Linked DNA regions of Danio rerio. The protein of the gene in region 1 interacts with the protein of each later gene in a pairwise test. Links are inferred from orthologs where the notes say so. Each region holds a gene or a part of one and is shown in the gene's direction. Other genes may lie near its edges. The genes, in order: arl6ip1, acsf2, gad2, snx15, ndrg4, tufm and sucla2.

What was found.
Region 2: the proteins of arl6ip1 (region 1) and acsf2 interact in binary tests that used the Homo sapiens proteins (3 or more experiments, as listed by UniProt). The two-hybrid records come from large-scale screens. The link is inferred for Danio rerio from reciprocal best matches to the Homo sapiens genes ARL6IP1 and ACSF2.
Region 3: the proteins of arl6ip1 (region 1) and gad2 interact in binary tests that used the Homo sapiens proteins (3 or more experiments, as listed by UniProt). The two-hybrid records come from large-scale screens. The link is inferred for Danio rerio from reciprocal best matches to the Homo sapiens genes ARL6IP1 and GAD2.
Region 4: the proteins of arl6ip1 (region 1) and snx15 interact in binary tests that used the Homo sapiens proteins (3 or more experiments, as listed by UniProt). The two-hybrid records come from large-scale screens. The link is inferred for Danio rerio from reciprocal best matches to the Homo sapiens genes ARL6IP1 and SNX15.
Region 5: the proteins of arl6ip1 (region 1) and ndrg4 interact in binary tests that used the Homo sapiens proteins (3 or more experiments, as listed by UniProt). The two-hybrid records come from large-scale screens. The link is inferred for Danio rerio from reciprocal best matches to the Homo sapiens genes ARL6IP1 and NDRG4.
Region 6: the proteins of arl6ip1 (region 1) and tufm interact in binary tests that used the Homo sapiens proteins (3 or more experiments, as listed by UniProt). The two-hybrid records come from large-scale screens. The link is inferred for Danio rerio from reciprocal best matches to the Homo sapiens genes ARL6IP1 and TUFM.
Region 7: the proteins of arl6ip1 (region 1) and sucla2 interact in binary tests that used the Homo sapiens proteins (3 or more experiments, as listed by UniProt). The two-hybrid records come from large-scale screens. The link is inferred for Danio rerio from reciprocal best matches to the Homo sapiens genes ARL6IP1 and SUCLA2.

Annotation. Positions count from the first base shown.
Region 1 is NC_133178.1:29,901,632-29,905,763, reverse strand, and holds the start of arl6ip1 (ADP-ribosylation factor-like protein 6-interacting protein 1), read left to right. Parts: upstream 1-1,332; 5' UTR 1,333-1,456; coding exon 1,457-1,492; intron 1,493-2,361; coding exon 2,362-2,495; intron 2,496-4,132. UniProt on the Homo sapiens protein: Positively regulates SLC1A1/EAAC1-mediated glutamate transport by increasing its affinity for glutamate in a PKC activity-dependent manner.
Region 2 is NC_133187.1:28,300,066-28,303,565, reverse strand, and holds part of acsf2 (medium-chain acyl-CoA ligase ACSF2, mitochondrial precursor), read left to right. Parts: intron 1-930; coding exon 931-1,038; intron 1,039-1,117; coding exon 1,118-1,269; intron 1,270-1,357; coding exon 1,358-1,499; exon of another isoform or gene 1,500-2,685; intron 2,686-2,724; coding exon 2,725-2,835; exon of another isoform or gene 2,836-3,317; intron 3,318-3,500. UniProt on the Homo sapiens protein: Acyl-CoA synthases catalyze the initial reaction in fatty acid metabolism, by forming a thioester with CoA. Has some preference toward medium-chain substrates. Plays a role in adipocyte differentiation.
Region 3 is NC_133199.1:6,326,889-6,330,388, reverse strand, and holds part of gad2 (glutamate decarboxylase 2), read left to right. Parts: intron 1-771; coding exon 772-945; 3' UTR 946-3,500. UniProt on the Homo sapiens protein: Catalyzes the production of GABA.
Region 4 is NC_133182.1:19,941,065-19,944,564, reverse strand, and holds part of snx15 (sorting nexin-15), read left to right. Parts: intron 1-394; coding exon 395-544; intron 545-637; coding exon 638-847; intron 848-3,500. UniProt on the Homo sapiens protein: May be involved in several stages of intracellular trafficking. Overexpression of SNX15 disrupts the normal trafficking of proteins from the plasma membrane to recycling endosomes or the TGN.
Region 5 is NC_133200.1:14,289,094-14,293,208, reverse strand, and holds the start of ndrg4 (protein NDRG4), read left to right. Parts: upstream 1-1,315; 5' UTR 1,316-1,416; coding exon 1,417-1,437; intron 1,438-4,086; coding exon 4,087-4,115. UniProt on the Homo sapiens protein: Contributes to the maintenance of intracerebral BDNF levels within the normal range, which is necessary for the preservation of spatial learning and the resistance to neuronal cell death caused by ischemic stress.
Region 6 is NC_133178.1:12,129,051-12,133,034, reverse strand, and holds the start of tufm (elongation factor Tu, mitochondrial), read left to right. Parts: upstream 1-1,184; 5' UTR 1,185-1,205; coding exon 1,206-1,242; intron 1,243-1,815; coding exon 1,816-1,862; intron 1,863-3,271; coding exon 3,272-3,410; intron 3,411-3,984. UniProt on the Homo sapiens protein: GTP hydrolase that promotes the GTP-dependent binding of aminoacyl-tRNA to the A-site of ribosomes during protein biosynthesis. Also plays a role in the regulation of autophagy and innate immunity.
Region 7 is NC_133181.1:10,995,481-10,999,646, forward strand, and holds the start of sucla2 (succinate--CoA ligase [ADP-forming] subunit beta, mitochondrial), read left to right. Parts: upstream 1-1,366; 5' UTR 1,367-1,379; coding exon 1,380-1,463; intron 1,464-3,667; coding exon 3,668-3,863; intron 3,864-4,166. Other genes in the region: nucleotide triphosphate diphosphatase NUDT15, read right to left, coding at 1,073-1,113. UniProt on the Homo sapiens protein: ATP-specific succinyl-CoA synthetase functions in the citric acid cycle (TCA), coupling the hydrolysis of succinyl-CoA to the synthesis of ATP and thus represents the only step of substrate-level phosphorylation in the TCA.

The DNA of each region.
Region 1 (4,132 bases):
ATAATTACAGGCAGGTGTGTTTGATATGGGTAGCAACTGAAATCTGCAGGAAGGTAGATCTCCAGGAACAGGATTGAGCACCCCTGGTGTAGTGGATAGAGTGTCGACACGCACTCCAGTGCGCTCAGTGAGAGTTTGTTTCCTGCCTCAAGTCCTGTGCCGATCCTTACCCTCTCTCTGCTCCCCTCGCTTTCCTGTCAGTACTCCCTACTGTCCTATCCATTTAAGGTGAAAACCACAAAAAAAAAAAAAAAATTAATAAATTCATTTTAAAAGAAAAGAGAGATTAGCTTAAACATTTATTCAATTTGATTTTTAAATATTCAGAAATGAAACACATTTTTCTCTACAGTTAACAGTAAACAAAATGACCTTACGTTTCTGTAAACAAGAAGTCATATTAAGGAGATAGTGTAGCTTACTATAAAATCTAAAATTAAAAATAAATCTAAAAATACAGAACACTCAGCAAACTAACATGGCTGAAACAACTCTGAAATTATACTTTGATGTTGCTTGCTTCTAGATCAAGTGTTACTGGCAATACCTTCAGTTGACTTTAACAAGACACTCATCACTCAATTGTGCTCATTCAAGTGCCTGGTTAGACTATCACACACATACGGCAGTCACACATTTGCTCTGGGCAGGAAAAATAAAATAATACAAATATATTTTATGTGAGCTCATCGCAATGGTTCAAATTGCGATTTGATTCCAATTAGTCGCACAGACCTACTGTATTATATGATAATTGATGATCAGTACTAAAAATTGCATTTACTCGTTTACCAAAACTAATAACGTTATTTAGCTTCGTTTCGAGGACATCCCTGTTGCCTTATGTTTTTACTTTCAGACAATGTCACATGAAGTCTGAATTTGTGCCTTTTCAATCATATCACCCTACAGTAAGAAATAAGACAGTTTTGCCTAATTTGTACGAAATGTAATGTCTTAACATAAACTAGCTTCAAGCTGCTTTATTTTATGTTATATTTTCAATCCTTTAATGGATTGTATTAAAATTAGACAGAAATTGCTTAAACTGATGATTTTCACTGTCAATTGTTACACATTTCAGGTCTTTCTTTGAACACCGTTTGTGAAGAATTCGATACTTGTATAAATTCCGAGGCTCAGCTGGTTGAACCACTTTTCCCGAATTTTCATAGCCAGTCTTAAGCCAATCGTTTGTTTTGGTTCAATTTGGAATGTCCACAACCATTGCAGAGCCCCTGGGATCGAAGAAAGGCTGGCTTGGCCTTCCCTCTGATCCATCTCATCTATTTTTGAACGTGAACTACATTTCCCATGAGTCCTTGTATTCCGAGTTTCAGATAAAAACATCCTGAAAATAACGGTCGCTTGACAGACTGCCGCAGTGGAGGGGGGAGACGCGTTCATATAATCGTGCTCCGAGGAACCTAAACTCTCAAGTAACATCTAATAAACCATGGCTGAGGGCGACAATAAAAGTGCAAATCTGTTGGTAAGTGTTAAGTTAATGTTTCTACCTATAAGCATTTCACTTGCTGTCGACGTATTTCATCTTGTACCGACGTCTTTAGCAATGCTAAGTACACGAGCTTCAGCTGTTGCTATCTTAACCTAATTTTAAAGTCATTAAAAAGAATACGTTATGTATCATAAATATCAATCTTTCCCATTTGAAAATGTTACTTATACGTGTGAATTTAGAGAATAGAAAGTAGAAACGCCACAGATATGAACTGCGTGGTAAGATGTTAGCAAGCTAACGTTAACGCGCTGCTAACAACACGGATTACTATGAAGCATCTCGCTAACGTAAATGGCTTTCCCACACACATTTTTGGTTAGTTGTCATAGTTGATACATTGTTGTACCTTTTTAAAACAAATATCAGTAGGCTGTAGCGTTATTTTAAGATGATATGAGTTTTGTTAGAGACATTCGATAATCTATCACGTTAGATTAAGTTTAATAGTAAAGAAAGATGTATAGTTGTCTTGAGGAGTATGGTTTATCTCGATAAAGATAAAGGTTTAACCTCCTTTATAGGTGATATACAGCGCAAAGTTGGAGGAAGTAAATGGGCTGAACCTAAATGTGGCCTGTTAGTTTGAACAAAAGATTCCGCAGTTGCCACATGCTCTCCTCTTTTAGCTTTAATACATCACATTTACTTTCCTATGCATTTCTTATTAGTTACTATTTTGTCCTGGTGTCTTTTAAAATTCCTGTCATGCCAGCAGGATATGCCCATCCCAACAGTTAATGGCACTCCCCATTTTACCACAATCCCTGATAATGCCATGTCATCTGACTTGAGAGAGCCGATTGTATTGACACTGATACTGACCCAGAGCATTTCTCTAGGCTCAAGAGACGAGTCAGTTGGAAGAGCAACTGCAGGGATGGGGAGAGGTCATCCTGGCTGGAGATCAGATCCTGCGCTGGGAGAAGCCATGGTTCCCTGGTGCATTAGTGAGCGTTACTACAATCCTCTTCACGTGAGTCTGCTGTTCATAGTGTACATTAGTGCCACTTCTTGACTGGAGGCCTAATCTTTGACTTCAGTTAATCAGATGAGGTCACATGCTAAAAGCCTTGAAAGTGTTTAATGTTTTTTACCGTTATTGCTTGTTTGCTTGTGCCTTAATGCATTTTAAATGAACTTCTTATTTCTCCCGTGGTATATAGTGCAGTCTTTCTTGTTTTCAGAATGACATCATAATTACCAGTGTAATTGGTGCTTTCATTACACTATTTAATAGCTATTTATTTTTTAAATGTCAGTTTTGGTGTAATTGAACAACTGTTTGCAGTTAGAGTTACTCTATTCATCATAAGCTTCCAGCAACAAGCAATTTTGCTGTCTGCACAAGACATAATTCAACATCTTAATACCACAGTTATTCAGTAGCACAGAACAGTGCACTGAACTCCCAATGGAATTGAATATTAAAATTTTTAAATACTAAACCTCATTAATTGAGATGCATGCTTGAATACGTGACTGAAGGTGTGATCACACTAGTTTGAGCTTGCAAAATTTTGTCTTATGGTGCTTTGGAAAGGGTTGTGATTAAACAAGATAATTAGAAATTAAAAAGTGAGCGATTGCTCCATGTTTTACATTTCTGTACAGTGAGGTCACGTTTTGATCTTCAGTTGGTCTTATGCTTTCACATGATACGATTTTGCAGGTCAGAGTTCACCAAGCTTAAACTTTGCTATCCAACATCAGGCGAAACTTGTCGCACAAGCTTGCGTTTCCTGTCTGACTCATTCCCATGCGTAAGAATTGAACTATATGGGGCAATAAGTGCCGTGTGAGCGCAGCTGGAGTCACAGTTATAATGTTTGTGTTTAAATTGTAGGCTAGATCTGAGGTAAACTATCTGCTGAAGGTTTCATCATGGCAATAAATATTGCAAAAAGAGATATTCAAACTTGCATTGTTAACATTTACCACAGAATAAACTGTACAATCAGCACCTGTGCTGGGCATTGTCAGTAGTAGTTTGAGCTATTGTTCTAGCTGCTATATTGCAGAAATAAAAATTATTTCTGAGTTAGAAACTATGTGTGTTGCAGTCGTGGATAAGTAGGACGAAAAAATAAATAATTAACAAAGGAAAGGTACGTTTTTCTAACTTCTCGCAGCATCACGTGTAGTTAGTTCATGGAGTAATATTTCATGTTGCATTGTTAGGGCTGGGCAGGGTTTATTTTTTTCTTTAAATTTTAAGATCTGGTTGTGGATTCTCTAAAACCATTAATGAACCCACCATAATATTCTAACAAAATTAGTTTAAATAAAGAGTTCTATGCAAACATCTTTGATCTGTAAGCTCATTTTCACTGTTAGATTTAAGAGATGTTAGTATCATTTGTATTAAATCCATGTTTACAGAACTGATGTCCATTCTTATACAATCTATTTTTGCTCTGCCAAAGGAAGCCACATCTGATTTGTTATGCTTTACACCAATAACATTACTCGCAGCCCACAACATTCTTGAATATCGTTCATTTTGAGAAATGATAAAGAAATAAACTATTTAATATCACTACAGATCTAGAAATCACAATCCAAATGATTTGACTAACCATAAGGATCAATCTCAATTACGTCATATTAGAT
Region 2 (3,500 bases), on another chromosome or scaffold:
ATAATTTTCTTTTATTAATTTAATAGCTTTTCTAAACTTTAACATTTTATTACATACACATTATATAGTAATGTAATGTTTTATAATAATATTTTCTAATTTTTTTAATTCAAGAAAAATCTGAAATTTTGAAATCATTGTTATTGTTAATCATTATTTATTATTAATAATGATATTATATACTGCATAATATACATACATACAGTGCTCAGCATATATAAGTACACACCTCACAAATCTCTTTAAAATTCATATTTTTAATAGGAAGTTATGCAATATTATATTTGTGCATTCACATTAGTTTACTCAGTACTGAAGCCAAATCTGGAACTTATCTAACAAAATAATTTACGATAACGGTCCAAAAACTAGTACACCCAAATTTATATTATAGAAAAATATTAAATACAAATTAAAAAAAGGAAAAATCTAGAGAAGAGAAAAATGTAAAGATTTAGTTGAAAATGTGTAGGTTGTGATTTTTTTTTTTTTTTTTTTTTTTTTTTTGCAATTTTAGCTTGAATTTATTTGTATTATCTTTCAGTTTCTAAATATGTTTGGTGACGACTAAAATATTATTTTAATAGATATATCTGTTTAATAAATCTGTTTTGTTTAAATGCACCAAAATACATTGCTATATTCACTGAGAAAAATGAATACAAATATTCATTTACAGAATGGGGTGTACTCAATTATGATGAGCACTGTATACTGTTTACAATTGTAATTGTTTGTACAATATCATTTAATATTATATATAATAAAATTTTATGCTATATTAAGGCTCTTCGATTAGTTTTTTTTTAAATCGCTGTGCAGCTTCCTGAAATTTCTGCTTGAATATTGTCACTTGAATATGTTCATTATTAAAAAATTATATTTTTATGTGCTTTACTCTCACTGTGTCATCCTTGTGCTTTTGAACAGATTGGCTATGGCACAACTGAAAACAGCCCTGTGACATTCTGTGGCTTTCCTGTGGACAGTGCAGAGAGAAAGATAGAGACTGTTGGATGTATTTCCCCACACACCGAGGTGCACTTTCAAACACCACTTTATTAAGGTGCTCTTTAGGCATCAGTTCTAGCACACTGAATTATTGTTTCTCCATTAGGCTAAAGTCGTGGACCCTACAACAGGAGAGATCGTGCCTCTGGGGGCTCAGGGGGAGCTGATGATCAGAGGGTATTGTGTGATGCTGGAGTACTGGCAGGATGAGGAGAAGACCCGTGAGTGCATCACGAAAGACCGCTGGTACAAAACTGGGTAAGTGTGCTTGATACTCCTCATTACATTGTTATAAATTATATCCCAGCTGTCTTGACTGAGTGTCTCTGCTGTGTGGTTCATACAGTGATATTGCCAGTTTGGACCAGTTTGCATACTGCAAAATAGAGGGGCGCATCAAAGATTTGATCATCCGAGGAGGAGAAAACATCTATCCTGCTGAAATTGAGCAGTTTCTGCACACACATCCCAAAATTCTAGAAGCACAGGTCAGCAGCGTCTATAAAAAAATGTTTATATTTACCTTTAGCACTTCATAATTCTCAGAAACAAATTATTAGCTTCAATAATGTTAGCTGGAGAAAGTCAATATAGGCTACTGATATACTAGCAAAGACTAACAACTAACTAACTAAAACATGCTAGCAAAGAGTGTAAATATGGTATAATGCTAGTGTAATTATAATTAATGCTTGCATGGTGTTAAAACTTGGTACTAAAGTGTTAGAACCATCATAGCAACTTGCAAAATCTGCCTAATAATCGGTGCTGACAAAATGTAATTTGTGGTAAACTATGCTAACAATATGCCAACTCATTCTATTAACATGTCAAATGTGTTAAAAATAGCATGCTAATTCAAGTTAGCAACCTGGCGACCTGCTAGTAAAATACTAACCATTCTAACAACATGTCAATTGATGGTGTCAATGTGTCTTGTAGTAAATTCATTTTAGCCACAGGATATAGGATAATAAAACATGCTAGCAAAAATTTAAGTCTTATCTGTTTGGAAGCAACTTGTTATGTCATGCTAGCAATTAACTCACTGAACAGTTCAAGCGTATTGCCCATGTGTTAAAAATACTATCAACAAATGTTTAACAGGGTAGAAAAGTGAAAGAAATGGCTATTAATTGCTGAAAAAGCCTGTGTATGTTGGTAAGTTATGTTTTAATCCTGGTTTATACTGGTTCCTGCTGCTTCCCTACAGCACATGACCAGGAATGAATGAATAAAGAACCAGAAAGAACCATAAACCAGCATCCAAACAAACCTTGCCAGTGCATTCTGTTTTTTCATCAAGGATTAGAAACATGCAAGCAATGGCTAATGTTAGAAACAAATAAAATAGACATGCTAGTAAGATGCTAATTAATTCTGTCAACAAATTAAAACTTTAGCCTTGTGTTAAAACATGTTAGAAATGTGTTTAATCATGCTAACAACATGCCAATTCTTTCTAGCAGTGCTAACTGCATGGTTGCAACCTATAAAATCATGTAATACACGTGTTGAAATATTCTAGAAATATTTCAAAATCTGCTATGTTACAGTTGAATGAATTATGTCATGATATCAACATGTAAACATGGTTTAACTTTTAGTCCAGGCTTTTTTAACTGTGCTATCTGGTTTTCATTAACTGTTAGCCACCATTTTATAGTTAGCAAGGTTGTTTGAGCATTTTTAATGTCTGTTTTTTTCACACAGGTGGTTGGTGTGAAGGATGAGAGGATGGGAGAGGAAGTATGTGCTTGTATTCGACTTAAGGAGGGTCAGGAATGCACTGTAGAAGAGATTAAGGCTTACTGCAAAGGAAAGGTCAGGAAATTTGGATTCTCAAGCTTGTGTGTGTCTCCCTGCACATGTACACACTTGTTCACCATTAAAATGTTTATATACAATTTATTAGATTGTGAATATTCACTGGAGTAAATTTAATATGTAATTTAAACATAGAAATACACAAACAATTATTATTAAACAAATATAAAGAATATCTGAAATCATGTTACTTGAGTCATTTAGGAAATCTAATTCTTATATAAAAATAAATACATTTCCTTTAATTACATTTCTTCCATTATACTCAATAATCCATTTTTAAAATAAACAAAGTTACTTTCAGAGTTAAGCACTTCAATATACTTTTTTCCTTTATTTTTATGCTAAGAACAGATGTCATTGTTTATACAGAGATAGATGTTTTTTAAAATAAACCCACTTCTTAAAACATTGCCAAATAAATTGACTGTAATGATAATAAAAAGTGAAGACACACATGAAAATAATAGAAATAAACAGCAAAATTGTATAAAATAAGATAGTAATAAATAAATAGACAACCATACTTGCCCAAACTTGGTCCTGGAGGGCCAGTGTCCAGTAGAGTTTAGCTCCAACTTGCCTCAACACACCTGCCAGGACACTTCTAGCGAGCCTACTAAGAGCTTGATTAGCTAGCCCAGGTGGGTCTGATTGTGGTT
Region 3 (3,500 bases), on another chromosome or scaffold:
CATAATTATACATACAGTTTATACATACAGTATATACACTTACAGTTAATGTCTGAAATTTTAGCCCCTTTTGAATTGCTTTTCCTTTTTTAAATGTTTCCCAAATTATGTTTAACAGAGCAATGACATTTTCACAGTATGTCTGATAATATTTTTTTTTCTGGAGAAAGACTTTCTTGTTTTATTTTGGCTAGAATAAAAGCAGTTTTTAATTTTTAATCACCATTTTAAGGACAAAATTATTAGCCCCTTTAAGCTATATATTTTTTAATTGCCTACAGAACAAACCATCTTTATATAATAACTTATAATTAAATATAATTACCCTAACCTGCCTAGTTATCCTAATTACCCTAGTTAAGCTTTTAAATGTCACTTCAGTTATTAGAAATGAGGTATTAAAATTATTGTAAAATCTTCTCTCCATTAAACAGAAGTTGGGGTAAAAATAAACCTAGGGGCTAATAATTCTGACTTCAACTGTATGTATATATATGCTGAAATATTATATATATATATATATATATATATATATATATATATATATATATATATATATATATATATATATATATATTGCCAAGTTCTCATTCTGTTTTTAAAAAAAAAAAAATCTAACCTGTCTTTTTAGTTTAAACCAACATGCTTTAACAACAGTAGATGGCACCTTATCTACGCGAGATTAGCTGAAACAACGTAAAACTGATGGATGAAGACTAATAGAAAAAGTTATTTCTTCATGCCTAAACTAATAAAAATGTTTCCTCCCAGGTTGCCCCTGTAATCAAAGCCAGAATGATGGAGTACGGCACGACCATGGTGAGCTACCAGCCACAGGGAGACAAGGTCAACTTCTTCCGCATGGTCATCTCCAATCCAGCCGCTACCTTTGAAGACATTGACTTCCTCATTGAAGAGATCGAGCGACTGGGGCAGGATCTTTAAAACTTACCGCACCAAAACCTGTTACTCCCGTGTCCCTGGATGGATTGCATATTTGTTGTGAATGTAACGGTAAATCTCTGATTCCTCTTCTCCAAAGTCACATTTAAACAAAAAAAGGATAATATGAAAATATCTAGAGTATAGTATTGTAGCGTCGTTGTGGGCTTCATGGTCCAGAGCCCTGTAAAAGTGTTACCGTCTGCTTTTACTGTCTATCTTAATGTCTTTGACATGACTTTGTTTGTTTACATGTTTATTGAGAATATGAAGAGTTGTTTGCTTCTATTCGGTGCAGATCATATGTTTCCATTTGAACAGTTATTCAAGGTGCCAGATTACATTGATATGTATACGTGACTATAGTATGATAGTAGAGACATATTAATCCAAAAGCACTTCATCATTTCTATCAAGATTTACAATTATTCGTTTTTAAAATAGTTTTTAACTATTATTTTACCAAATACTCAAAAATCAGCCATTTTTATTTGAAAAAGTGTCAAAAAAAGAGATAAAATTGGGTGCTTTATATAGTTTTACACTTCTAAAAGCTGATTAAAATTAACATTAAACATACAGTTGAAGTCAGATTTATTAACCCCCCCCCCCCTGAATTATTAGACCGCTTGTTTATTTTTTCCTTAATTTCTGTTTAACGGAGAGATGTTTTCAACAAATGTCTAAAGATAAGAATTTTAATAACTTATTTCTAATAACTGATTTATTTTTATCTTTGCCATGATGACAGTAAATAATATTTTACTTGATATTTTTCAAGACTATATACAGCTTAAAGTGACATTTAAAAGCTTCACTGGGTTATTTTGGTTAACTAGGCAGGTTAGGGTAATTAGGCAAGTTATTGTATGATGATGGTTTGTTCTGTAGACTATCGGGAAAAAAAATAGGTTAAAGGTTCTAATAATTTTGTCCCTAAAATGGTGTTTTAAAAATTAAAAACTGGTTTTATTCTAGCCAAAATAAAACCAATAAGACTTTCTCCAGAAGAAAAAATATTATCAGACATACTGTAAAAATGTCCTTGCTCTGTTAAACATCATTTGGAAAATATTTTTAAAAAGAAGAAAAAATTCAAAGGGGGGTTAATAATTCAGACTTCAACTGTATTTAGAAATGTAAATATTAACTTGTATCTTCTAATAAACACATCCCAAAATATTTATCCTGATCACAATATAAGAATTACCTGTCCACCTTAAAATATGTGCAATCATCAACAATATTCAATGTTCTTTTGCCTTGAAATGTGTAATTTCCAATTGAGTAAAGTGCAATAGTGGTTAAGTAAAGTAAAATGAGAATAAATATAATATTAATTCTTTAAACAATAGCATATGCACATCATATACAGTATTTAAAAAAATAAAAAAATAAATAAAATGACAAATTTAATATAAATACCTTCGCTTCCCTACATTACACAATAGCATTAGATTTCTTAATTTACCAACCCATCCATGCACTTGTTTAGCTTTCCTATACATAATGATAAATATTTCAGGGTATTAACAGAGCTAAATTTAATGTCATATATATATAAACTCCAAAAAGAAAAGAACGCATAAGCATACGTGGGGTTATGCCCTATGATAGTGTGTAAATAGTCTTTTAAGATGTTCTTGATCGAGTACATATCTATGTGAATACATCACTGTATTGTATATACGCAGAGTCTATTTGTGTGGTAAATAACATTATTTTCTCTATTCAAGAAATATTTAATCCTAAATGGTAGATGCGTTCTGCTTGTGTGTGCGTGCGTGCGTGCGTGTGTGCGTGTTGAATATGATGATTTATGTAACTGCAAAGATATGTGTATGGAGGATCCAGTGCATTTTAACACACTTACTCGAAATGATTATTATTATAGCACATTTGGAGAGCCATTTCTGAACCGATGCTGGTTGTATTCGTGCCCAAGTGGTTAACTTGACATCCTGTGCCGATTTGTATTTTCGTGTGTTTGTAACTGTATTGCCTTAGTATTAATTGCCAGTATTGTCTAGTTCTCCTAAAGAGGAGCTTGTGCACTTTAGCTTATATGTATGATGATCTGTCCAATGGATGTTCTTAGTTTGATGTTTTAAGAAACTTAGCGTTGTCTGAATGTGTCCAAGGCTTGGTCATCCGTTTGGGATGAGAGTTGCTTTATTGCTAAAATCATTTGTAGATTTAATGCTATGTTTCTACCTGCTGGAAAAGCACAACTGAAAGTTGCACTCCAAAAAATGATGTCGTCACCCAATATTTTTGTTGTTTTTCCAGTACACATATCGACATTTTAAAAGCAAGAAGCATCTACTTTAGAATGACTTGAGATAATGAGTCTAGTGGTCTTGAAATATCATTTTAAATTAGCTAAATTTGCTTTGTAAACAAAAACATGTGTGCCAAAGGGGTCAGAAAAATGTAAATAGAAAGAAAAGAAAGATTATTTTTCTCACCTCATTGGCAATCAAAAATAAATTACATTTTGAGACATGTTTTGGTAAACAAGACTAGTAAACAATTGACTTGAATACTCTCCTGTGAAA
Region 4 (3,500 bases), on another chromosome or scaffold:
TTTAAAAAGCACATAAATTGTTTTGCAATTTGTGATTTGTTTTAAGTTGAATAAAAGAAAAACATTTTCCATTCATATATTTTATTGAGGATTCCAAAAAAGTATTAAAAATCTTGTGAACCCTATCTCATGTCTAGTCTCATCTCGTGGAATAAGCATCTTGTCACACCCCTTTTACTAACCATTAATAAAGAGCCAATTAGACGTTTATTTGGAGGCAAAAGTCATAGTTAATAGTTAATATTGTGAATTGGTCTCCAAACTAAATCTTATTTTATCTAATTTAATATTTGATTAAAATTTAATAAGTTATTACCTTTAATGATGATTGTTAAAAATAAAAATTGCCATTAAAAATAAAAGTTTTAAACAATGGTTTACTGCTCCATTGCAGATGCTTCGCCTGAAATGCCAGGCTCTCCAATCGACCAGTTGGAAGAGTTTGATGCACTGTTTGACTCAGGATTGGAGGACTATTCCTTCAAAGCTCCGCCTCTGCTTTCAGACACAGACCTCGCTATTTTTGACCCTTGTGTCAAAGAAGGTGGGAGAATCTATTCAGTTTGACTTACCATGTCTACATGCAATTGTTTTTTAAAGCAAAGTCTCACTCTCATAGCTTGATTCAATCTCTCAGATCAACCGTACGGATCACCCAGCCATGCTGAACTCCTGTCTGCTCCTCTGTGTGGTTCAAATGGGACGGATTCTGCTGTAGATGTTAGTTATGTGTACCAGGCCAATGAAGAGCTGAATGCTGCCCAGGAACAAGAGAGAGAAGGCAACTATAGCACAGCCGTACAGCGATACAGGGCGGCTGTTGATATATTTATGAAAGGAGTGCAAGGTAAGACATGGAGGCTGTTTGCATGCACATTGCAACACTAATTGATATTTTGCAGTATGTAATACAGTTGAAGTCAGAATTATTTGCCCCCCTGTTTATTTCTTTTAATTTTTTGTTTTATTGTTACAATTTTTGTTTAAAGGAGAGATTTATTTAACGCATTTTAAACATAATAGTTTTAGTAACTAATTTCTAATAACTGATTTATTTTATCGTTGCCATGATGACAGTAAATAATATTTGACTAGATATTTTTCAAGACACTTCTATACAGCTTAAAGTGACATTTAAAGGCTTAACTAGGTTTATTAGGTTAACTACGCAGGTTAGGGCAATTAGGCAAATAATTATATAATGATGGTTTGTTCTGTAGACTATCAGAAAAAGATAGCTTAAAGGGGCTGATCATTTTGACCTTAAAATGGTTCATAAAAAATTTAGAACTGCTTTTATTCTAACTGAAATAAAACAAATAAAACTTTCTCTACAGTAAAAAATATTATCAGACACACCGTGTAAGTTTCTTTGCTCTGTTAAGCATCATTTGGGAAATATTTAAAAAAGAAAAAAAATCAAAAAGAGGCTAATAATTCTGACTTCAACTGTATATAATTGGTGCAAATTTTCTTTATGAAAAATGTCTGGATACTAAACACAACATTGGTTACATATCATATATTTAACAAAAACACACAATTGGGAAAATAGCATCCCACAATGCACTGTGCTTGACCAGACGTTCTATTTCTTGTGTGACTAATTAACTGAAAGGTTATGAATTAATTTTGAAATACAATTTAGAGACGCTGCTGTTCCAGAGTTTGTGGTAGACATAAATTTTTTTTAATGTTTCTTGTATTTTACAAGACTGCATTTATTGAATCAAAAATGTAGTTTAATCAACAATTTTATGAAATATAGGGTCACACTTTACAATAATGTTCCATTCGTTATGTTAGTTGTTTGTATTTATTAACATGAACTTAAATTGAACAGTACATGTACAGCGTTTATTTATCATATTTTAATTTGTACTAGTGCATTATTAAAATGTAAAATTGTGCTTGTTAACGTTAGTAAATGCACAGTTAACAAGAATTTACTATGAACATCTTTATTTCATTAGCCAACGTTACTAAAGATGGTTAAGTATTGTAATAAATGTATTGTTTATTGTTCATTTGTGATTGTCAATACATTAACTAACATTTATGGAACCTCATTGTTAGGTGTTATTGATATAGTTTATCATGTTTTTCATGTTAACTTATTTCAGTTTTAATATATTTTTTCAAATTTGTTCCTGTGAATCATTACTTTAGTTTTTAGTGTCACATGATCTTTTAGAGAGCATTTTAATATGTAGACATGGGGCCCGATAATGATTTCTTATTTATGTTATCAATGTTGAGTAAAATAAATATTCTTATTTTTCTTAGAAAACATATACAATAACCATATACAATCCAATCTAGCCCCAACAAAGCAATCCCCAAATAAAATAATACAAATCTGAAAAATAAAATAATAATAATAATGAAATAAATACAAATACAGAAAAAACTAATTATAAAAAACCGTATATATATATATATATATATATATATATATATATATATATATATATATATATATATATATATATATATACTTACACAATCCACATTTAAGGTTTTTAAATCATTAAAAAATGCAAAAAATTGTTGGCAGTTTTCCGACAACTGTTCTCCTCTACCTCTGATATTGCATTTAACATATTTCTAAAGGTGCTGGTTGACTTGACATTGTCACCAGGTGTCAGTAACAACCAAAGTAATTCATACATATAAAGCAAACAAAACTAATTAGTTTAGAAATTAACTTTTGTGTGTTCAAATAAATGAAATGACAAAGGGGAACAGTATTGAACACATGAAAAAACTGGGGTATTAGAGGTCATGGAAATCCTAGACAGCAGACAGCATGAATATAAGCTGCTTTATTCCAAACATCTACACAACCAGATGATGAAGATGAAAAAGGGTTGATATTAAAGCAAGACAATGATCCCAAACACAGGCAAGGAAAATCTCAATGGGTCTCAGAAAAAAGAAAATAAATCTGCTAGAATGGCCCAGGCAATCACCTGACCTGAATCCAATAGTAAAAATGAATTAAAGTGGATAGACAAAACCCACAGAACCGTCAAGACTTTTAGACTCTGTTGATGTTTGGGGGAAAAAATTACACCTAAGCAATGTATGCAACTCCATTCTTCATACTACAAGCTGTCATTAGCATAAGTACATTTCAGTAGTTCAGTACCTTTTTCTTGTGTCGTTCCATTGTTATTATGCATAACAAATTTTTCTGAATTGGATGTTCGGATTGTTTGATACAGAGTTTGAGTTGTTTGGGTTTTTACCAAAATATGCATCAAATTCATGTCAACAGCTCCTTTAGAAATAAATGGCATTTTCAATTTTAAATGTTTATCTTAACCACTATTATTATTATTATTATTTTTATTATTATTATTATTATTATTATTAATAATATTATTATTGCCGGCAGCTAGCTCTCTGCAACTTTCAAATGGTCCACCACTGGAGCTAAGCAGAGCTGCTCCTAGTCACTACCTGGATGGGAGACCACATGGGAAAGCTAGGTTGCT
Region 5 (4,115 bases), on another chromosome or scaffold:
TTCTGTGAGTTTGTGAGCTGACTTTATGGTCCATGGAATCAGTTCTGCTGTGTGAGTCTTATCAATGGAGACCTAGAGCAGGTGTGTGTGTGCAGTGCATGACTGGGTCTTGTAGTCCATATAATGGCGGATTTAGATTTCTAAGTGGTCTGCATGGGCTAGATCGCTGGTGCTTGTAACAGTAAGTCATTAATATAATTCATTTTTAAAAATTTAAGCCAGCCATGTAATTATTTACAGTTTGGTACTGAATAAAACATTACTTAGGCAAAATTCAAGTTAACGTTAGTTAATGAAAATACAGTTGTTCATTGTGAATTCATGTTAACTCACGGTGCATTAACTAATGTTAACAAGCACGAGTTTGGATGTTAATAATGCATTAGTAAATGTTCAATTATGATTAATAAATGCTGTACAAGTGTTGTTCATGATTAGTTCATGTTATTAAATGCATTAACTAATGAACCTTATTGTAAAGTGTTACCTTATTCAGAAACAATACCAAACCCAAAAAAGTGATAATGAGCTCTAAATAAAAACCTGTTCATGTGCATACTATGTAACAAGTATGGCGCGTTCTATTTTGACAACAACAGTGCAAAAGCATTTACACCTGTGCATGACACTTGCAATAGAGAAGGGAAGAGTTTGTGCGTTTAAGTGAGACTGCAAAAGCAAAGTCAGGCACACGAGGATTAATCTTTCACATCCACAAAGAAAAGCCAGCACATCCAGTTGTAATAGACAAAACTGTGCGGATTTCAAATTCAGAGGCTGTATAATATAGAATATAGCTCATGTAAACACATCCATGCCTCAAAAGTGGGCCACGAGCCTCGAGTGCTTTATCACGTGCTCCTGTGGAAGCGCACACACACAAACACTGTCACAAAGCAAGCCACATTGACAGTAATGCTTAAGGCTTTTTATGAAATCGGAGTTCTTGTCTAGTTTGGTGTGTGTATTGTGTCTTTTTTTATTTAAATGATGAATTACTATATAGAAAAGCATATCATTTTGGAATATAGCGCTCTATTGATGTATTAAATTGCATCAAGAAGTCATATTAAAGGCTGTTTTGTGCATGTGGAGGATGAAAATAGCAAATATGGGGCAAATCCAGATGAAAAACAACAGAGTTAGATTGACACCAAGCTGAGCCACTCACATGCTGGCATTTTGTGCAGTCATCCAATCAGAATGCATGGGGTGGGATGTGAAATGTGTCGGGGGAGGGGACAAGTAGTGCTGCAAAACTGCCCTGACAGGACGAGGAGAGACAAAGAGACGCCGTAGCAACCGCAGCATCTCTTTGCTTTCCTGCATCCGATTGCAATTGTCCAGAGAGGACCTTGTCGTCTCCTTTTCTTCCCTACACTTCTTTAAGCAAGCGTACACAATCTCTAAGCTACCATGCCGGAGTGCTGGGATGGGGTGAGTGGGATATCTATGATTTTAGGATGTAAACACAGGATTCTATTTATTTATTTATTTGTTAATACTAATACATGTGCTATCATGTCATTCTTTATTGTTTAGCCAAATGAATGTATATTTAATTGATTAGCCTTATGCATGCTTGAAATAATTAGCTTGACCTACTGAACTGGTATTGTGCACCAGTTCCATCATTACAGATCTATGCATGTTTATACTTGCCTGATGGCTACTTATTATCATTTATTTCAATTTATCAATCCTAATGGTTATTTAGTAATTATATTGAAATAAAAATAATCATTTAAAATAAAATCTTATTTATTTATTATTTAATAAAAAGCTAAATGTGTACATTTGTATCATAAATGTATAATATAAAACATATATATATATATATATATATATATATATATATATATATATATATATATATATATATATATATATATAATTTTTTATATTTAATATAATATAATATAATATGATATAAGATAATATAATAGATATATTCATAAAATAAAATATCAAATAAAAAGCTCCATCTGGTGAAAGCGTGATGCTGATATTGTGTGTTGTGCAGAAATGTCCAGTCATGTATGAGGTGGCCATTTGCACTAACACACTAACACACTGCCACGTGTGGGACGTGCGCACTGATGTACCTCTGCAGTGACCTGGAGTGTGTGTGTTTAGAAATGTGTGTTTGTGCATTGTGAAACTGACACCAAATCTGCGATCTAATCATAAAAATCCTCATCCAAGGACGATTGTGTGACCTTGAGCTTAAAGAAAACGAGCAGCTAAAAAAGAGCAGTACTTCAACTCACGACGCACTGCTTTACTATTGTTTTGTGCATAATATTGTCATATCTAGGTCAGATTTTGTGTTTATCTCGTCAGTGTTTGTTCCATATTGTCTGTCTAGAAAACATGCTTGACATTTTGCAAAACACAGTGACAGCTGCTATGAGATTTAATTTTGACCCGAACACAGAGTTACACAAACAGCTGTCCTTAACTCGCACAAATACACTTGCATCCGGTCTGAGCTTCCACTATTTTTTTATTTTTTATTTTCCACTAACATCAAAACCACACACTGACAGGGGCTTAAAGCCCACAGGAGATTTATTTCCCTGTCTCTCTGTGGATCTGCATTAAGCTCGGGGCTGCCTGCGAGGTGTCTGCGTGGATTTGTGCATAACATTGGAAAGCTAGAGATTCTGAAATAATCCTTATAGGACAAGAAAAAAACACACATCCATCGCTTCTCCACTTGGAGTAAAGTCTGACGGTGAATGTGGGTCAGTTCAGATTAAAATGCCTTTGGAAATGGCAATTAAAAGTGTGTTAAATGACTATGAACAGGAATCGGAGACGCTTAATAAGATATTAATTAGTTGTGTTTTTTTTTTACTCTCGATTAAATACATTTTTTATTGCCCATTAAAAATTTGGCAGCCCTTTTAGTAACTACAATATAAATCAATGTTTTAGTTTGTGTCAAAACATACAGGCTGAAATGAGAATTTCTGGCAGACTGCCTCCTTTTATTTAGTTTGTGTTAAGATACAACTGTTAAGCTGAATTTGTTGCATCTAAACAAGCTAAAACTTGATTTTTAAGTTAGCCCAATATACAATATTTTACTGAGTATAGATTGCCTTTTGAAATTAGAACATGATTGGAACAAATTTTGATTTTATAGTTTGTGTTTGGATACAAAAAATAAAGCATGACTTATTAGATTTCACCACATTTTAGCCTGTATGAAGTGGTAAATTGGGTCAGTCTTCTCACAATGTCAATACGTAGCTAAATATGCCAGATTTTGCCACAATATGGACCACTTGATGACACTGGGATGATATTGGTCCAGTTCACAAGTTTTAGCTACAGAATTTTCAACAACAACAACAACAACAAAAAACCTTTTAAACCCATTTTCAGTCAGTAATTTGCATCTAAATTAGGGTCATATTTAAGCTAAAACTGGAAAATTGGGTCAATCTCGTTTCAATGTCAATATGTACCTCAATATACTAGATTTTGCCAAATATTAGCCACTGGGATGAGATTGGTCCAGTTTAAGTTTTACCTACAAAATTTTCACCAAAAAAAATATTTTAAATTCATTTCAAGTCAGTATGTTGCATCTAAATTACTGTTGTATTTAAGTTACAACTGGAAAATTGGGTCAGTTTCGTCCCAATGTCAAAAAATTAGCTCAATATGCCAGATTCTTCCACAATATTGGCCACTTGATGACACTGGGATGAGATTGGTCTAGTTAATAAGTTTTACCTACAAAATTCCAACTAAAAAAAACATTTTAAACCTATTTTTAACCAAGTATGTTGTATCTAAATTAGGGTATTTAAGCTACAACTTAGATTTGTGTTAGGACAATATGAAATAATTGTGTGGAGCCCTGCAAACAAGCAAGCCAGCCCAGATGAAAAAAAGTAATGGGAAAGTAACTTAATGCATTACTTTCCTCAAAAAGTACCTAAGTACTGAATTTAGTTACTTGAAAAAAATGTAATCCAATGTTACTTTTAAAAGTAACTTCCCACAACATTTTAGATCCATCCTGACAGTTTCTCAGGCTCTTTGCTGAAATTGTTGTTTTTGTGTGTTCAGGAACATGACATTGAAACCCCTTATGGGAT
Region 6 (3,984 bases), about 18 Mb from region 1:
GGAGGAAACCCACACGAACATCGAGAGAACATGCAAACTCGACACAGAAATGCCAAGCCGAGGCTTGAACCACCGACCTTCTTGCTGTAAGGCGATCATGCTACCCATTTCGCCATTGCTTTGGAACTTTTGTTTTTGATGCCTGTTTTTCATGTAATTGTAATTTACCAATGCACAATGAAAACATTAATAAATGCCCTCCTTGCATAGTTCTTTCACAACCTCTTATTAAGGTTTATAGTGTATAAAATAAACATTTTATAAGGATTTAATATACACAGAACCCATATTTAAAAGTAATTTACAGTTTTTTTGAACATTTATTGTATAACACAAAGTTACATTTGGTACATATCATTTACAATACTTTAATAATTAGATCATTAGCTCTGTTACCTGAGAGCCGCTGCTCCTCCACATCGAGAGAAGTCAGCTGAGGTGGCTTGTGCATCTGTTTAGGATGCCTCCTTGAAGCCTTCCTGGAGGCGTTCCAGGCATGTCCCACCAGGAGGAGGCCTCAGGGAAGACCCAGGACACACTGGAAGGACTATATGGCTGGCCTGGGAACGCCTCGGGATCCCCCTGGAGGAGCAGGAGGAAGTGTCTGGGGAGAGGAAAGTCTGGGGTTCTCTCCTGAGACTGTTCCTGCGATCTGGCCCCGGAAAATCGGTTGAAAATAAATGAATGAATGAATTACTAGATTATTTATAATGGTGCCAATAAAGAATGAAAAAGAAGAAAAAATATGAGGAAAAAACACAACAGAAATAAAACAGAACACAAAAAATTTAATAGGCTATTTAATCTGAGGATAGTTATTTAATACATAAAGAAATTGAGCAAAATAAGAAGATAATGTTATATTTTCAGAAATTTAGAGATTTAATAGAGTATACATATTAAAGGTCATGAAAATAGTACCTGTATATGTTTTGAGTGCTTTCTTATTAGGTGTACCTAGTACACTCATCTCTTGTACAAATGTTGGCTTGTGATTTACATTTATGAATTTAAAATCTGTATAAAAATGACAAGGCTTCTTATAAAGCATACATAAAAAAATGTATATAACAAATAATTACATTTGGAGTAGTAACGTACAATTTAGATGATTTACTGTAAGATTAAAAAACGTGTCCAGTGCGTCCAGTGTTGATGGCGTATGTGTATTTCTCCGCGCATGCGCACTTGTCACAGTCCGCAAAATGGCTGCGCTCGTTAGCGTCCGCGCGTGCCTCTCCGGTAAGTTATAAAATTCGCTTATTTTACCTTTCTCGTGCCACTGACACTATGTTCATGCAGCGAATAATCTGCGAAATATGTGTAATATTTGTGCAAATGCCGATGAGAGTGTGGAAATGGCAGTTACTGTGAAAACATGAAGGATGCTCGTGTGTTTCCCCAAGCAAGGTCACGTTCCTCAGGCTGTGACTTATATATATCGTACAGATTGAGTGGCATTATTGACATTAAAGCGTAAGATCTATCACAATATTTATATGATAGTTAAATATTTGTATTGTGTGAAGATCATACTTACGGGAAACAGATGAGGAGTGATTCGGTCTCGTGATGTTTTTGACAGTTGTTCATAATATAGCGACTTTGACGCTTGTAATATTTTAAGTTGTCCTCTGTTTATTAATGTGATGATAACATATTTTTAAGCAGATTTAATAGTCTATGTATTCCATTGTTTGCATTAGCACAGTATATTTATATATTATACAGTATATTTCCTGACTCGTGTTTATGAATGAATGAATGAATGATGATTTCTGTATTACATTTAAGCTTTTTTTGTTTGTTTTCCAGCTCTTCAGTTGACCTCTCCAAGTTTACTTCACAGCTCGTTTAAGCTGGTATGAGTTTCAGTTTTTTAAGTTTTTTTTTTTTGTTTTTATTAGTATGTTATTAAATGCATTATTATCTGTCATGGATTAGCAATTATTATTTGTTAATATCGAAGGAAAAGAAGATAAGTTAGATATTGTAAACTCCGAAATAATTGTGCAAAATATTTGTGACAAATTAGCCATACTTTGTTTTTGTTTTTTAACAGCCAAGTCCACAATGGAAGTCCAGGGCTTTATACCTTTTTATCCTCCATGGTTTTATTTCAAAATGTATGGGATTCTTTTTCTTTTGTTTAAAATCTGTCAAATAAAATTCAACTTAAATGCTTTATATACTTAAACTTGACGTTTGTCCAAATTCAATCTTTATCGGTTGGGTTAAAGTGGGTCAAAGGAATCTTGTCAGGCAAATTATGCAACAAGAATCATTTGATAACACATTTAAAGACTGTTTATCACAATGCAGCCTTAAAATACTCATTAATTGTCATTTTAAATCTATTTATATTTTGCTACTATTTTTCCAAGCACTTGATTTTAACCTATTTGTTAGCAACAAGTGTTTTAATCATCTAATATTAAAATATACTATATAATATAATGTTTTGATTACTTACTCTTTTATATATGGTTAGTATTTTGTGTGAATATTTATAGAATACTGAATGGAAATTGGAAATTGTTTCACTCATATCTGAATTTTTTAAAAATCTAAATGTAAAAACAAAATAAAAAGTTTTCTTTATAGAAAGGATAAAAAAAAGTCTTTAAAAGCCTTGAATTTAGATTTGAGAAGATATTTAAAAAATATTTTGGCTAAAACTATTTCTTCAGCCTGACAGACCCAAAAACTATTTACAATTACTATTATTATTATTATTATTATTATTATTATTATTATTATTAGACAGAACAACATTTTTTTAGTTAAGCCATCTAGTCAAATTGCAAGTAAAAATTAAAATGTGTGTCTGACATAAACATCATGTTCCTACAAAAATCAATAACACAACTAACAGAAGCAAAACAATGCAAAGTGTTTTTTTTTTTTATCATTTATGAATCCGTGGACCTATTTTAAATCCTCATATGAGCATGATCATTAATAAATAAATAAATACAAATTTATTCTTGCATACATTCATATTTCATACTCAGGAAGGTTTCAATCCAAAGTTTAGTCCCTGGTCAGTATTTATTTTTTTAAATCCTTAGCGTTTAGCCCTGATATGCATGAGTATTTTCATTGCAAATCTGATGATCTTAAATGTCTTATAAGTCAGTCTTAGAAAGGCCTTTAAAAATGTTTTCAATTTAACTTGTTAAACTCTGTAGGCACCCTGTGACATTTCCACTGGAGATATTTGAAAAAATAGCCTCATGTTTATTTATTTATTTAATTTTTTTGACCCTAGTGTGCAGTTCCTCTAAGTCGAAGGAATTTCGCTGCAGAAGCGAAGAAGGTTTTTGCTCGTGATAAACCCCATTTGAACATCGGCACTATTGGACATGTTGACCACGGCAAAACCACACTGACCGCCGCCATCACCAAAGGTACACTTTCAGCTTTATTTCATATAAGGGATGCTCCAATTGATTGTTCAGAGATTGGTATCGGCCGATAATTACATTTTATGACTCGATCGGTACTCTCCGATCTCATGAATCGATCACAGTTGTTGTTTACGGGTTTACACGTAGAGGAAGTGACACCCATGCATTGTATAAACTACCCCGAAAACCATGGAGACGAGTGTGTATTAGCAAGAGAACAGATCACAAGAGGCTCTGTGTGTTTTTAACATTATTGCAAGTTCACTAAAACCTGATTGAAAAAAATACATATAATAAATATACACATTTTTTTTACTTGAGTATTTAATAATATACCTTTTTGTATTGTACTAATTGCAATAAACAAATATGTATTTATAGGTGTGCATTTTAACATCTTATGCATCAAATATGCGCGCCAAATTTTTTCTTCATTGAGACATGTTGAATTACTTTCCCCTCATTTGTGATGTTTCTAAATGGCTTTGTTAGTCATTTTTCCCACCGCTTTTTTTTATTTTTATTTTTTATCGGTTTTATCTATTATTGTCTGTAAAGCTGTTTCTGACCATGA
Region 7 (4,166 bases), on another chromosome or scaffold:
CTTAAAAGTGAGTGTATATCCTTCATCGTTTAATAACTGTGAGACTAATAAAATATCGTTTTCCACCCAACTATAGAAAACTGATTAGTTTGGTCATTAATTTCACTAATTTGGCAACCAGCAAACATCATCAGGAAAATGGTTTGAATTTCTGCTTAGTAAAAAAACATTAGTGTTCTGTTTGGAACGACACTACATACATATACTATCCTGTTGAGTGAGTAATTGAAAAAGTACATAGTGCATAGTGTATAGTGTGCCATTTGGGGTGCAGCTTCTATATTCAGGAACAGGGTTGAGCACCCCTGGTCTAATGCGAGATGAGAACGATGTAAATTATTTAGCTGTATGCAAATATGGTTCCAAACTCTTCATTTAAAAAATAAATGCTTTTTGTTTTTGTACTTCTAATACTAATGATGACATGTGTGATGTTTTATGAACCAGATTTTTAAAATGTTTTTTTTTTTTTTAACCTGTTGTATTTGGTTATTTCTCTGATGTTCCCAGGGACAAAGTTCCACTCCTGTGCAGCTGTAACTAAAAAGGCACCCTGACCAAAGGCACTTTTCCAGAGTGGGACAATACAATCTCCCCGGGCTGCCCCTCATGTTGCTCTCTGTTTGGTGTTCCAAATAACCTAAATTAGTTTCTATTTAAGCACTTTATGATTTCCAGTAGATAAGTGTGATGATTCAATAACTTATAACAACACGCAAAAAGACACTCACTTGCTGTCATCTACTGGTTGAAAGATATACTAAAAGAAGGGCTGATTAAAAAGACTCACTATTGTGTGTGGACTCACTCTCTTTGTGGTGTTCCAAATACCTTAAATTGGTTTCTATGTAAGAACCTTTTGAATGATTTTGAATAGATTCGTTAGTGTGATGATTCAATAACACAAAACACAGAAAAAGACAATCACTTGCTGCCATCTACTGGCTGAAAGATATACTACAAGAAGAGCCGATTAAAAAGACTCGAAGAATCACTGAAATGATTCAAACCCCCTTTACAGGTAGTGGTGACACTGACCATTAATGGAAACCACACCATAGTCTAAACTTACCTATATCTTACTTGGTAGATGAATCTCCTTGCAGCAAGCATATCTTTCACGATTAAATCGAAGCTTGTTCACTTTGGCATACACGATTGGTAGCAAACCATTTCAAATCTTAAATTAAAAGCGGATATTTGTCATTAACACACGAATTGATTTAAAAAATAAAGCTTTTTGAATCATGAAGAAGGAAATAACCAACCGTGATAGACTATTCTCAAAGCACAGCTGCGCAACTGACGTAACGTTACGTAGAGACGCAGTCACGTCCAATCATTTGTTTTTCTGCAGCGCTGCTTCAGCACAGAGCAACATGGCGACGTCCCTGATCTGTGGCCGGTTGTCCGCTGGACTGAGGAATTCCAGCTCCAGGACGACTGTAAGCTCGGCAGCTAAGGTCAGTTTTGTGTATACGCGTCAGATTTTAATAACCGACTTCCATTAATGAAGTAGCTTTCTGTTTTGGTCACTTACAATGGCACCAAATGGGTAGTTCTCCTTTGACATTAGCACATTGGCTAACAGCCTGTCATTAATAATAATCAGTAATGCTTAGGTTAGCAAACCTGTTCATTATGTTCTGAGCGGGTGCTGTATTACTGTCTAATCCGAGATGTTTTCTGGGATTGTTAGAGTATTATGTTTGTTTGTATTCTTATCATGCATACCAATTACATGTCAGCTGGGTTTACGAGTTAACTTTGACCTACATGTAACTTACGGAGGGACACTCTGTTATGTTTTACTCTATGTAGTCCATTCACCTGTAGTAACAGCTGGTTGGTAAAGTAATCCTTAAACCACTCAGATTTGCAAATGTACTTGTTATAATGAACTATAAGTGTTAATATTTCTGAATCATACATTTGTTGAAATAATTGTTTGGTCAGTGAAAGGTTGTACCCTTGAGTGAGACACCTAGGTAGCTTACTTCATAATGTATCTAACTTATTTATATGCAGCACTGTATTGTTGATTACTTGGATGGTAATTTGTTGCTATTGTGTACATTAGAGCTGCACGATATTGGAGAAATCTGACATTGTGATATTTAGTTTTTCTGTGATTTATATATCTTCATTATACTTGAAAATAATTTTAGTCACATTTAAGTTCTCGTTCTTAGCAAACCATTTTGACTTTTGTTTCAATAAACTCCTAATTTTCTATTTATTAATAGTTATTAGGTTAGTTTAAGTGTTGGGTAGAAAAAGATCATACAGAACATGTGCTTTATAAGTACTAATAAGCAGCCAATATCTCAATAATATACATACTAATAAGCAACTAATGAGAATTGGACGCTAAAGTGTTACTGAGTGTATTTTGATTGACTGGGATGATTCTGTAGGGAAGTGAATCATCGTAACTTGTAATAAAGAAACTACAAGCATAGATAAATGCAACAAGGCAAAAATAAAAGTGAAATAAACCATGCATGCATTGTGGTTTTGTGTATGAGCAATTTCAGCGTCATGGACGTGACATTTGCAGTAAAAACTCAAAGGATAAATTCACATAGAAAGCAAATGTTAACATAATTTTGAAGCATTTGTTTATATTTTTCAAAACAACCAACCACAGATTTATAGGATCAGAAAAATATCCATCTGTAAACATTTTTTATATTTTAAATGAGGAAAATAAACATGTGTTATGGATGTGACAAAAAAGTTTGCGAGTTTACAGTATACAACATACGTTGTAGATAGTCTGTGAATTAAACTGCACAACCCAAAAGAAAAAATGCTAATCAAAAGAATAAGAGTCGGCTCACTATAGAACAAAAGTGAGTGGTTTCATTTTATTTGACATTTTTGTATTTATGAGGGAAATCAAATACAATAGTTTGAAAACATTAACAGAGACATTTTTGAGCAATTTTAAAGTACTGTAAATACTTTCTTACACAAAGAAAAGTAGAAACGGTTTCTCTATTTTGGTGAAAACCTAAATTTTTCTTTTATGGCAAGGTTGGCATTTGCATGGGATTGCTCATATGTAACTGTAAAAATGACACTGTAAAGTCAACTCAACATTGCATATCATTGCGATGTGACTATTGCGGATGCACACATTGCGATATCAATGCTGAAATTACATATTGTGCAACCCTAGTGCACATTCTGTTTTACTCATTCTTTTCGGCGTAGTCCCTTTATTAATCTGGGGTCACCACAGCGGAATGAACTGTTAAATGAACTGTTTTTTAATCCGGTGTCGCCACAGAGGCATGAACCGCTAACTTATCCAGCACGTTTTTTATTCAGCGAATGCTCTTCCAGTTGCAATACATCTCTATAAAGGATTACATTTAGGGTTAAATCATAATATCTTCAGATCACCCACCATTACCTTTGCATTATTTATTGTCAAAGGAGATAAACTTAACATCTAAAATGATTAATATCTTAAAAATAAAACAAATTTTAGACTTTTCTTGCATTTATTTCGCTTTGATGATTCCATCAAGCAATCACAGAAGTTGTGTTTGAATTGTAAAAACGACTATGGCTTTGTGGCAACATTATCCCTTGTTCAATCTCTTGTTTGCAGTGTTGGATTTAATTTGTACTATCAATATTTGCTTTCAATTACCAGGTGCTTGGTGGGACATCAGGTCTGTTTGGGCACCATGGGAACCAGCCATCTCCAATGCTGTCGCTGCAGCAGCAGAGAAAGCTCTCCCTGCATGAGTACATGAGCATCGGCCTGCTAAAGGAGGCGGGCATCTCTGTGCCCGCGGGGATGGTCGCCAGCACACCTGATGAGGCTTATACTGCTGCCAAGCAAATCGGTGAGAAAACATGAAAATATGCTGGACATTGTCTGAGTAAAGCCGTGTATTTTTGATAGGACTGCATTACTGTATTTGATGTGCAATACAGTTTTTTTTCAAAGTGATTTTAAATGAACAAAGACATTTTTCACAGTATTTATTGTATAAATACTGTGAAATTATATTGTTATATTAAATTAAATTATATTATTATATTATATTATTTCCTGCATTTTAAAAAAATTCATATTTCTTATATTTAAATAAAAATGGCCAGCCACAGAACAAACTGCTTTTATCCAATGAATTGGTTAATTATTA